Pelodiscus sinensis: one gene and its partners. The protein of the gene in region 1 purifies or fractionates together with the protein of each later gene. This does not show direct contact. Links are inferred from orthologs where the notes say so. Each region holds a gene or a part of one and is shown in the gene's direction. Other genes may lie near its edges.

The links. Proteins that work in one complex are often made in the same cells at the same time.
Region 2: the proteins of ubiquitin carboxyl-terminal hydrolase 36 (region 1) and GNL2 purify together in Homo sapiens (affinity purification with mass spectrometry; 3 studies listed by BioGRID and IntAct, with this or other methods). This does not show direct contact. The link is inferred for Pelodiscus sinensis from reciprocal best matches to the Homo sapiens genes USP36 and GNL2.
Region 3: the proteins of ubiquitin carboxyl-terminal hydrolase 36 (region 1) and DHX33 purify together in Homo sapiens (affinity purification with mass spectrometry; 5 studies listed by BioGRID and IntAct, counting the BioPlex papers as one, with this or other methods). This does not show direct contact. The link is inferred for Pelodiscus sinensis from reciprocal best matches to the Homo sapiens genes USP36 and DHX33.

What each region holds. Positions count from the first base shown.
Region 1 is NC_134730.1:29,157,173-29,160,914, forward strand, and holds the start of ubiquitin carboxyl-terminal hydrolase 36, read left to right. Parts: upstream 1-995; 5' UTR 996-1,115; intron 1,116-2,134; 5' UTR 2,135-2,272; intron 2,273-3,590; 5' UTR 3,591-3,635; coding exon 3,636-3,742. UniProt on the Homo sapiens protein: Deubiquitinase essential for the regulation of nucleolar structure and function. Required for cell and organism viability.
Region 2 is NC_134735.1:9,880,199-9,883,940, reverse strand, and holds the start of GNL2 (nucleolar GTP-binding protein 2), read left to right. Parts: upstream 1-872; 5' UTR 873-1,024; coding exon 1,025-1,088; intron 1,089-1,781; coding exon 1,782-1,866; intron 1,867-2,810; coding exon 2,811-2,905; intron 2,906-3,202; coding exon 3,203-3,342; intron 3,343-3,742. UniProt on the Homo sapiens protein: GTPase that associates with pre-60S ribosomal subunits in the nucleolus and is required for their nuclear export and maturation.
Region 3 is NC_134731.1:25,902,897-25,906,638, forward strand, and holds the start of DHX33 (ATP-dependent RNA helicase DHX33), read left to right. Parts: upstream 1-1,359; 5' UTR 1,360-1,453; coding exon 1,454-1,631; intron 1,632-3,742. UniProt on the Homo sapiens protein: Implicated in nucleolar organization, ribosome biogenesis, protein synthesis and cytoplasmic dsRNA sensing. Stimulates RNA polymerase I transcription of the 47S precursor rRNA.

The sequences.
Region 1 (3,742 bases):
TCTCTGACGACTGGAGATGGCAGCACCAGTCAGTTTTCAAACTAGAGAGGTAAATAGTGGTGCCCCCACAAGACCTGTCCTGGGATCAGGGCTGTTGCACAGGTTCAGAAACGGTCTAGAAAAGGGGGTAAAGGGCGAGGTGGCAAAGTCTGTAGCTGATACAAAACTACTCTGGATAGCTAAGTTCAAAGCAGACTGGGCAGAGCCTGGGCAACTGGCAACAAAACAAAATGGCAAATGAAGTTCAGGGCTGATAAATGCAGAGTCAAGCGCATTGGGAAACATGGTCCTGGCCATAGGCACCAAATGATGGGTCTACGCGATGGCGTAACCTCGTCCCGCTGCGCCTTCTGCGCGGCCACCGCTCAAGAACAACGGCTCTGAAAACAAGGACTCAGCGTGCAGCGGCAGGAACAGCGAACAGTGGTGGGAAGCGGCAGGCAAGGGACAGAAACGACACAAGATCTCACAGCCCCCGTAGAAATCCATGGTACGCCCATGCTTTGGCTACAGCCTGCAGCTACCCAGCCATGGAACCGGCAAAGAGACAGAGAAGGGCAGGAGAGATGGGGTTCCCGTAAGCTGAGCACTTGGGCTTCCGGCCAGGAGAGGTTAAATTCCACCCGGCTAATTAGCACAGTGCCCATGCGTGTGTGTCTGTTGGTGGTGCACATCCGCACATGCCTTGGTGCACAGAACAACATTTATTCCGCCTTGGGTGGGAAACATGAGACGGGCCATTGGGCAGGGAGGAGCAGGGCTGTGGCAAGCTCCCGTGCCAGGCGGACTCAGGAGGGGGCGCTACAGGCAGCCGCGTGCAGCCGGGCGGGCGCGCCGCCCTGCGGAACTCCCGGCCACGGCACGGGGGCGGGGCCACGCGGCCAGGGGGCGGGGCTGTGGGTGGCACGCGCAGAAGGCGCAGCGGGACGAGGTTACGCCATCGCGTCACGGCGCGGAGCCTGCGCAGACCCCGCCCCTTAAAGGGGAGGCGGTGAGCGCGGGGAGCGGGGGTTATGTGGCGGGTCCCGCGCAGGCGCCGACTCCTCCCCTTTAAGGCGCAGACACGTGTGCGGCCGCGGAGGCCCGGATGCTGCGAGAGGCCGGAGCCGGAGCAGGTAGCGGGGGGGGGCGCGAGCCGGGCGGGGGGGGCATGGCGAGCGGGGGGGGGCCGGGCGGTCTGGGGGAGCAGGGCGAGCGGGGGGGGGCCGGGCGGTCTGGGGGGGCGGGGGGAGCAGGGCGAGCGGGGGCGGGCTGGGGGGGCAGGGGGGGCGGGGGGAGCATGGCGAGCGGGGGGGGGCTGGGGGGGCGGGGGGAGCATGGCGAGCGGGGGGGGGCCGGGCGGTCTGGGGGAGCAGGGCGAGCGGGGGGGGGCCGGGCGGTCTGGGGGGGCGGAGGGAGCCGGGCGGTCTGGGGGGGCGGGGGGAGCAGGGCGAGCGGGGGGGGGCTGGGGGGGCGGGGGGAGCAGGGCGAGCGGGGGGGGGCCGGGCGGTCTGGGGGGCGGGGGGAGCAGGGCGAGCGGGGGGGGGGTCGGGCGGTCTGGGGGGGCGGGGGGAGCAGGGGGAGCGGGGGGGGGCCGGGCGGTCTGGGGGGGCGGGGGGAGCAGGGCGAGCGGGGGGGCCGGGCGGCCTGGGGGGCGGGGGGAGCAGGGCGAGCGGGGGGCAGGGTGAGCGGGGGGGGCGGGCGGCCTGGGGGGCGGGGGGAGCAGGGCGAGCGGGGGGGGGGCCGGGCGGCCTGGGGGGTGGGGGGAGCAGGGCGAGCGGGGGGGGGGGGCCGGGCGGTCTGGGGCGCGGGGGGAGCAGGGCGAGCGGGGGGGGGCCGGGCGGTCTGGGGGGGCGGGGGGAGCGGGGGGGGGCCGGGCGGTCTGGGGGGGCGGGGGGAGCAGGGCGAGCGGGGGGGCCGGGCGGCCTGGGGGGCGGGGGGAGCAGGGCGAGCGGGGGGCAGGGTGAGCGGGGGGGGCGGGCGGCCTGGGGGGCGGGGGGAGCAGGGCGAGGGGGGGGGCCGGGCGGCCTGGGGGGCGGGGGGAGCAGGGCGAGCGGGGGGGCGGGTGCGCTGCGGGGCGCAGGGGCGGTCCCTGCTGGGGGGGGCGGGTCTGTCTCCGCCCGGCCTGGTCTGACCCTCCTCGCCTCCGCCACAGCCCGTGTCCCCTCCCGGCCGGGAGCAGCGCGTCCCCCTGCCAGGGCAGTGGCCCCCCGGCTCCCCCGCTGCGCCGGGCCCGGGCGCTCCCGCCAGCGCAGATGCCCCCGCAGGGGCCGGCTGAGCCCCGGCTCTGGAGGTGAGAGCCCCGCGCCGCAGGGGGAGCCGGGGGCCGGGGCCCTGCGGTGCCGCCCAGGAGCTCGCTCCGCTGCCTGTGTCCGGCCGGGGGTGGGGGGGCTGCGCCCTGCGGCTCTTGCCCAGGTGGGGCCGGGTGGGGAGCCTGAGGCCCGGGGGGTCAGCCCCCCCAGATGGGGGTTCCTCCCCACGGCACTGGGGAGCCCGTGTTGGAGCTCCAGGCCCAGCCGCCCCCCATGGGGCTGACGCACAGACAGCGAGTCGCCTGGCCCCAGGGCCCTGGGGCGCGAGGGGCCTTTCTGCTTAAGGATGCTCCGTTGCCGTTACCTAGCTAGCCCCATGGGCCGTGGAGCCGCTGCAGCGGGACTGAGCCTGTCTGTAGCGGGGGCTGCTCCCCACTGGGACCCCTGCAGACAGGGGGTGCTTAGCAGCAGCCTCCCCATCCCCCCTGCCCTTATAGAAGCAGTGGGGGGCAGGTGGAGCCCTGGAGACAGTTCTGGGGAGAACTGGTTTTTAAGCCAGCTTCCCCCAGCACTGGTTCCTGCCCCCCCCCCCCCCCCGCTGTCTGTCCTAGAGGCAACGAGGGGGGGAAGCAAGGAGTCGACTAGTGTCCGACACCCCTAGTTCCCACTGCAGTGCTTGATTCAGAAATCTAGCCAGCGCCACGTGGGGGGAGCAGGGGCTGCTTCAGTCCCCCCTCGCGCTGTTTCCCCTCTGCCCCCCCAGAGGCAGTGCAGGGGGGACCGGCTTTTCAGCTGCCCCCCATCCCCAGCACTGACTCCTGCCTCTGCCCCCCCCCCCCCCCCCCCCCGCTTGCTGCCTCTCTCTGATGGAGGCAGCAAAGGGGGGGAAGTGACGGGTGGAGTTGGCATTTGCTAGCCAGCCAGTTGCTCGCGCCCCTATTTCTGCTCCTCAGCCGGGGGCCGTGTCTGTGAGGGGTGTTTCTTTTTGCTGCTTGCTCGTGTGGCCCCCGACCCTACCAGGGTCCCCAGCCCTGGGGTAGAGGGAGCTGCTGGTGGGTCTGGGAGCAGTGTGGAGCGTGGCCTGGTGCTCTTGGGACCCATAACTCCTTTCCTGGCTCTCCCTGCTTCGCGGAGCCATGGGCTGTCTCTGGGCAGGTCCCAGCGTAGCTGGCAGAGCGGAGACGCTCCGCTGGCCCCGTGGCAGCGGGAGGGCGGCGCTGACCGGCGTGCTGAGCTCTCTGGGGGGCTGGCAGGCCAGGGCTCCTGCAGACTGACCCTCCCCCCCCCCGTGTCTGACATGGCTCTGGGCGCTCTGTGGCAGTTCCCGCCTGGCCAGACTCCTCCTGCTCTCCCCTGCAGAGAGACGCGTCCCCGGGTAGCCAGCTGAGCCGCCCCCGCTGCGCCATGCCCATCGTGGACAAGCTGAAGGAGGCGCTCAAGCCAGGCCGGAAGGACTCTGCTGAGGATGGGGAGCTGGGCAAGCTGCTGGCGTCGTCTGCCAAGAAGATCCT
Region 2 (3,742 bases), on another chromosome or scaffold:
ATACTGACCTTAATCCTTCATGTACACAGCACTAAGCTGATGTGAGAGTGTCTCCTGCCAACATGCCTACTGTCTCTTGTGGAGATGAAGTAACTAAGCTGATGGAAGAACTCTCCCTCCTTTTAGAGCTTCTTCATCAAAGAATGACAGCAGCACAACTTAAGGATGCCAACGCTGACTGAAGCTATCCCGGGATTTTTTTTAACCAACATGAGATAATGTCATTTTCTTAAACTAGCCTATTAAAATGACTTTTTCAAGAGTCGCCGGGAGATTGCTGCTGATTCCAGGTGACTCTCAGCCAATCCTGGAGGGTTGGCAACCCTAGTACAGTTGCATTGGTGGCGGGACTGTTCACCCTGCAAAAGCCATGACTCAGGGAAGAATAGGATCAAGGTTGGTACAGCCATGAATGGTGTGCGGAAAGTGAACAGGGAAGTGCTAGTTAGCACCTCCCCGAGCACAAGAAATTAACAGGCAGCAGCTTTAAAACCACCATTAACAGGCCACCCAACCATCCGGTGATGTCATAGCATAACGATGTCATGACCCGGATTCAGCAGGCTTGTGATGACGTCACGGCACAGTGATTCTGGCATATGGTGATGTCATGACCCCAGGTTCCTAGCCACACAGTGAGGTCACGGGATGGCTCAACCTAAGCAGAGCACGGGGTGATGTCATGAGCCCGTGTCACCACGGCTGGTGGTGATGGCACCACGGCACAGTGAGGCCAGGGGAGTGGGTGATGTCATGAGCCCGTGTGACCACGGCCCGCGGTGACGTCACGCTGCAGTATCCCGCCCCCCGCGCTGTTCGGGGCCGCGGCTGCCAAGGTGACCGGGAGCCGAGGTTGGGCCTAAGAGCCGGCGGAAACACGTCCCGCTCGCCGCCGGAAGTGCTCGTGGGGCCGCTTCCGGCTTTGCCCGCGCGCGTGGGGCCGCCGGCGAGAGACGCGAGAGCGCCCGGTCCGAGACACCGCGCTCGTGCCCCTCCCTCGCCCCGGCCAGACACCGGCCTCAGGATGGTGAAGCCCCGCTACAAGGGCCGGAGCAGCATCAACCCGTCCCGCGCCAGCACCAACCCCGGTACCGCCTCCCCCCGGCGGCGCCCCCGTCCCGTCCCCTCTTCCCCCCCCCCGGCGGCGCCCTCCGCCCCCGTCCCGTCTCCTCCCCTCCCCCCCCCCGGCGGCGCCCTCCGCCCCCGTCCCGTCCCCTCTTCCCCCCCCCCGGCGGCGCCCTCCGCCCCCGTCCCGTCCCCTCTTCCCCCCCCCCGGCGGCGCCCTCCGCCCCCGTCCCGTCCCCTCTTCCCCCCCCCCGGCGGCGCCCTCCGCCCCCGTCCCGTCCCCTCTTCCCCCCCCCCGGCGGCGCCCTCCGCCCCCGTCCCGTCCCCTCTTCTCCCCCCCCCCCCCGGCGGCGCCCTCCGCCCCCGTCCCATCTCCTTTCCCCCCCCTCCTCCAGTGCTGCCTCCTGTGGCGGTCTCCTGCCCTCCCCCCTGGCAGTGCCCTCCGCCCGTGTCTTGTCCTCTCTTCTCCCCCCCCAGCTGTCGCCTCCACCCCGTCCCCTTCTTCCCCCCACACCACAACCCTCCCCCACAGTCCTCGCCCCTCCCTTCACGACAGCACTGCAACCCTACCCCTTGCACGCCCCAATAGTGCCACAACTCTCATCCGCCCCCTCCCATAGTGCTACCACCTTCTTTCCTCCCCCAGACCCTCACCCTGGCCCATTCCCCCCCAGTGAGACCTTTCACTGTCCACTGACTCTGCCCTGCTTCCCTAGATCGGGTGCTGGGCGCTGGGGGCCACAATGTGCGGGACAGGGCGACCATCCGGCGGCTGAACATGTACCGGCAGAAGGAGCGCAGGTGAGGCTGGCAGCTGTCCTGGTGGGCCAGCTGAGTATCTCCAGTGGGTGGCCACTGCAGTGGAGCCAGGACAATGGGAATTCTAGCGTCCCCATCCTGCCTGTGCATTTGAACCCAGAATAAAAACTTTCGAGGTGGCAGCCTTGAGTCAAGACCCTCAGGTACACAGACAGACCTGTGCTCTGAAGAACCACCGCTTTCCTGCACCAGTGGAGCAGGAGTGACTCTCCAGCAGGTCTCTTAGATGGTTCCCAACTCACCACCCTAACCTCATGGGGCTTGGCAGCACTTGTATATCTTGGCATGCCAATAAAGACTCATTGATAATTCTTATTCTTGTCTCCTGCCTGGGTAACCCAGACATCTCCTAATCTGATTATGAGCCATAGGCAGTTATTGTTTCCAGCTGTTCACTGGTATTGATAGACTTTATGTGGGAGGAAAGGTTCATTGCGGGAGCAAATGTTTGTGTGCGCTTGTTCCATTGACACTGGCACATGCTGCCAGACATAACGGCTCCCTCCAAATATGCCTTGTGCAGTAAAACTGGCTGCCCTAAAGCCAGAGGTCATATGTTTTCTCCATAAACTGAACAGATTTGGTCCTGGTCAGTACATGGATGGCAAACTGATATCCTGGTCACACAGGGCCCTGTGGCATATTTGCAAGAATAACCCCGGCATCCTGGTGAAATTCCAGTCTGGGTGAGAACATGCTGCTTGACCTAAATTCTTCTGTTGTCTCAGTTATAAAGATTATTTTGCCATTCCAAACAGTACTGTTGCCGGCAAAAGTGCCCTTTTGTATACAGCATCTGTTTCCTTAGGGCCTTTCGTTCAGACAGACCATCACGTGGATTTTGTATTGGAAGGCGTGAACTATGACCCTTGCTGTGTGGCTCTGCTGCTTATGTGTTTACACAAGCTCTCGTTTTTCATTCTTAGAAACAATCGTGGTAAAGTGATTAGGCCTTTGCAGTACCAGTCCACAGTGGCACCAGGAACAGTGGCAAGAGTGGAACCAAATATTAAATGGTTTGGTGAGTGTTTCTATCTCACAATTCAGCAAGGTTTAAATAATAGTAATTTAGGTATTCTAAGGATGATGTGGATAGTATGACCCTGTTACTTGGGGAACAAAATCCACTAGCCAAAAGATTCTAATGTGGTGGTTGATTTTTGGGGGCCCAACATGAGATGCCTTAAAGAGGACTCGTTTTCAGAGCATGGGTTCCCAACTCTGACTCCTAAAAGAAGTCTAAAAACACTAGGTTTGCATGTGCTTTCTGCCCAGTGTGGGAACATGTGAAGGTGCAAAGTTTATTTTTCCATACCAGGAAATACTCGTGTGATCAAGCAGTCATCCCTGCAGAAATTCCAAGAGGAAATGGAGACTGTTATGAAGGATCCATACAAAGTGGTCATGAAGCAAAGCAAGCTGCCGATGTCACTTCTCCATGATCGAATTACACCTCATGTGAGTATTGTGCATCTCCTCACACAAAAGACCTCTTAAGATGGTTCTGGGCAGGAGCCTTAATTCCTAGGTTTGTTTTCTGGAGTATTATCTATGAGTGGCCGTATTGCATTTGTTCAGTTGGTGCAGAGCTGTGTGGTGTCCTATGGTGGCAAACTTGTCTCCCCCAGTCTGTATCAAGGTCTCTTCTCTGGTGGAGGAAAGATGGATGCAGTTCTTTGGGTGCCTGCTGGTACCATTGTGTCAGCCTGAAGGAATCTCAGTGATCTGAGGTTTCCTAGCAGCTTACTCTCTCGGGCTGTCATAAGCTAAGCCAGGGATGGGAAACCTAAAACCTGGGGGCTGAATGCGGGGGCTCCCTCCTTCCCTCAGCATTGGGGAGCCCACGCTGGTGCTCCAG
Region 3 (3,742 bases), on another chromosome or scaffold:
ACCAGCAGAAACTCTAGATCTAAGAGCCATTTACAACTGCTTGGAGTATTTCTTTCATCTGTATCTCTCTGTGCTGTTCATTCTTTTCTAAGGAGTTTAGAGAAGGGGTGTGGATGGCCAACTGGTTAACTCATAAGCCTCACTCTTAATGAGTGAGGTTTACTGGTTCGGGATAACCCATGAAGACTGGGGCAGCCCCGTGCCTGCCTTGGGCAGGACCACTCTAGCCTGGGTGGAGTAAGCCCTGTTGGCAGTGGGAGTGGGAAAGGGACACTCCAGCCTGGACACATCTCTTTTCCTAGGTTAACTGGTTAAACATTAAGTTCAACCAGTTAACCAATTAAATGGGATTTTACATTCCTATTTCAGATCCTCTTCATTTTAACTCCTATGATTAGATCTTTGTTCTTTCCACCTATCCTATCCTGCCACTTTTTGTTCCTGACAGCTCTGATTTCCGAAGTGCCCCTTTTCCATCATCCTTTATATTGAAGGCTTGAGTATAGACTTCCCAGGGCTCTACCTCTGGGTAGTTATCTTTCTTGCATTCTTTAAAGGATTGAAGACAAGATGCTGAACAGCATGTGAATGTGCCTGTGGCAATAGGCTGAGTGAGTAGATGCCTTGTTATGGTGTGTAAATACATATCTTTGGGTATGTCTGCACTGCAACACTATTTTGAAATAACTAGCGCTATTCTGAAATAATTTAGTCTGTATCTACACAGTAGACAATTTTTTTGACATAGTGACAAAATACGGGCAAGCTGGAGGATGTCTTACTCTGACTCCTGTAACCCTCATTGTGCGATGACTAAGGGAAGTTGGAGGAAAAGTGCTCTTTTTCGAAATAAGTGCTGTGTAGATGATCCCAGTTATGAAGTAAGATATGCAATTGACATAACGTAACTCAATGTGCGTGTCTTATTTCGAGTTAAGCCCTGCAGTGTAGATGCCCCCTTAGAGAAGGCTTAAAACCGTTCCTCCAGGTAGGGCTTTATCAGTATAAAGCTGAGAGAGCAGTGGGGCAAACACCCTCAATGGTGGGGAGCAGGCACGTGATTCCTTTGGGGGGGGGGGAGTAAAATCACACCTTAACAAGAAGGACGGGGTAGAATAAGTTGTCCATACATGACAACATTCTGGGGTGATTTTTTTAAAGACTCCCCCCTCCTTGTAACTGCGACACAAGCGTCACAATGGAAGCTCCGCCCTCTACTGCCTTCCATCGTTTTATGGACCGCCCCTGGCCTGCGGGGCCTGCGGGGACTACAACTCCCAGCCTCCCCCGCTCCGAGCCCGCGGTGCACGCTGGGAGCTGTAGTCCCGCGGGCCGTCGCGCCGCCGGGCGGCAATCGCTGTGCGCGGCCGGCAGCTGGAGCACGTGGGCGGGGCGGGGCGGGGCGGCCGCGTGTTTCCCCGCCGCCCTGGGAGCTGGTCCCGGCCCGGGGGCGATGCCGCAGGACGGCGCGCGGCCCCCGGCCAAGAGACTGAAGCTGGCGGCCCCGCCCGGCAGGGCCATGCTGCGGCCGCCGCCCGCCGGGGAGACCCAGCGCAGGGGCCTGCCCATCTTCCAGGCGCGGGGGCAGCTGCTCAGCCAGCTCCGGAGCCTGGACAGCGCCGTCCTCATCGGTGAGCGACCCTTCCCTCTGCCCCCGCCTTCCCCCGCTGGAGGGCCCCGGAGCAGTGCTCCTGCTGTCTCTTTACATCTGTGTGCGGAATAAATCTTACCTGCACCGGGGCACGGGCGGATGTGCACCACCCGCAGTAACACGTGATGCCCTCTGTGTGCGCTTTGCTAATCAGCTGGGTGGCATTTGAAGCGCTCCTGCCTGGTCACCCAAGCACTTAGCTTTCTTACAAGGAACAACTGTCCTGGACACCCCCCCCCCCCACACACACACACACTGGAGGGCAGGGGAAGGGGGGAGTTTGCTACACCCCGTCAGCTGGGCTTTCCCACCTTTTTTTGTCTCCCAGGGCACACGCCATAGCCCATTCGCCTGACAGGAGGAGCTTTTCATTCCCCCTCCCCACTTGTGAGGTGCTCGTGGGATGACAGCCCTGTTTCCGCACTTGTAACGCCGACATGCAGAACCAAACCTGGGATTTCTGGAGCTTAGTGCATGAGTCTCGACATAGCTTGAGCTCAAAGGCAACTGGCTGTCGCTAAGTGTGTAGTGCGTACTCATTCTTTCTCTCCAAAAGTGGTCTAAGTGCCACTGCTTGGGACAGTGAACCACGCCCCCCGCCCAGCCCATACCGGGGCCACATGCCAGCTAGTCCTCTTCCTCCCAGGGCAGAGCTGTAGCTTATTCCTCCTCTGCCTGGGGTGGGGGAGGCTCATAGACAGGGCTTGAAAACGGCAGCGAATGCTGCTCGCCGGCCCCGCACTGCGCATGCGCAAGAGCTGCATTGCTTACATTGGTTACATATTGGTACTCTTCATAGTGCTGCTGGGAGCCGCAGAACCCTGGTGTCCCCACAGCAGCCCCAATTTTACGGTTAATAATTTAAAAAAAAAATTACATCCCTAGAGTTTAGTGCCACAGCTGTTGCTGAGACTGGGATAGTGATAGACTCCGGCTTGATCATATTTTAGATGTGTGTAGCAGAGAAGGACAGTGGTGAGGGCCCTAGCCTAGGACTTGAGAGTTCTGAATTCAATTTCCCAGCTCTGCCACAGACTTCCTATGTAACCTTGGGCTAATCACCTGCTTGCCCTGCCTCAGTATCCCCAACTGTAAAAATGGAGTAAATAGCACTGCTCAGCTTCATAGGAGTGTTTCAAGGATAATTACCCTGGAGATTGTGAGGTGCTCAGATACTGTCGTGGTGGAGTCATGTTAGATATAATCAAGTATTTGTAGTCTCTGTGGATTCCACAAGAAACTGACATGTCTCAATTAGGGATGTGGATGGATAACCGGTTACCCAGTGAGCTTCACCATTAATGGGTGACGCTTACTGGATTATGGTTAACGTTACCTGGGAGCAGCCCCCCACCTGTGGCCGAGTTGGCAGCCTTGCTGGGGTATGTGGAAGCAGCAGTGGGGTGGGAAAGGGCTGCTGGCTCCCAACCCATGGAGGCTTATGGCCTGGGAGATGGTAGCCTTGCATGGGGGAAGTAGGGAGATGGGAGAGGGAGGCTGCCAGCTCCCTTCTGCCCTGTGCGAGGCTGCCAACTCCCAGCCTGCTTGGGCAGGGAGGCAGAAGCCCAGCATGGGGTCCGAAGCAGCTGAGCTGGAATAGCCTGATCTGCAGCACAGAGACCACTTTGCCTGGCTGTGGTGGCCACTCCCCCCATAGAATTATAGAGCTGGAAGAGACCTCAGGAGGTCATCAAGTCCAGCCCCCCTGCTCAAGGCAGGACCAATCCCAACTAAATCAACCAGGGCTTTGTCAAGCCGGGACTTAAAAACCTCTAGGGATGGAGATTCCACCACCGCCCTAGGAAATCCATCCCAGTGCTTCCTCACCCTCCTAGGGAAATAGTTTTTCCTAATCTCCAACCTAGACCTCCCCCACTGTAACTTGAGACCATTGCTCCTTGTTCTGCCATCCATCCCTCACTACTGAGAACAGCCTCTCTCCATCCTCTTTGGAACCTCCCTTCAGGAAGTCGAAGGCTGCTATCAAATCCCCCCTCACTCTTCTTCCCCCACCCCTACCTTGTTTAATCAGTTAACTGGTTACACATAACATTTAACTGGTTAACCAATTAAGCAGAATTTTAAATCCCT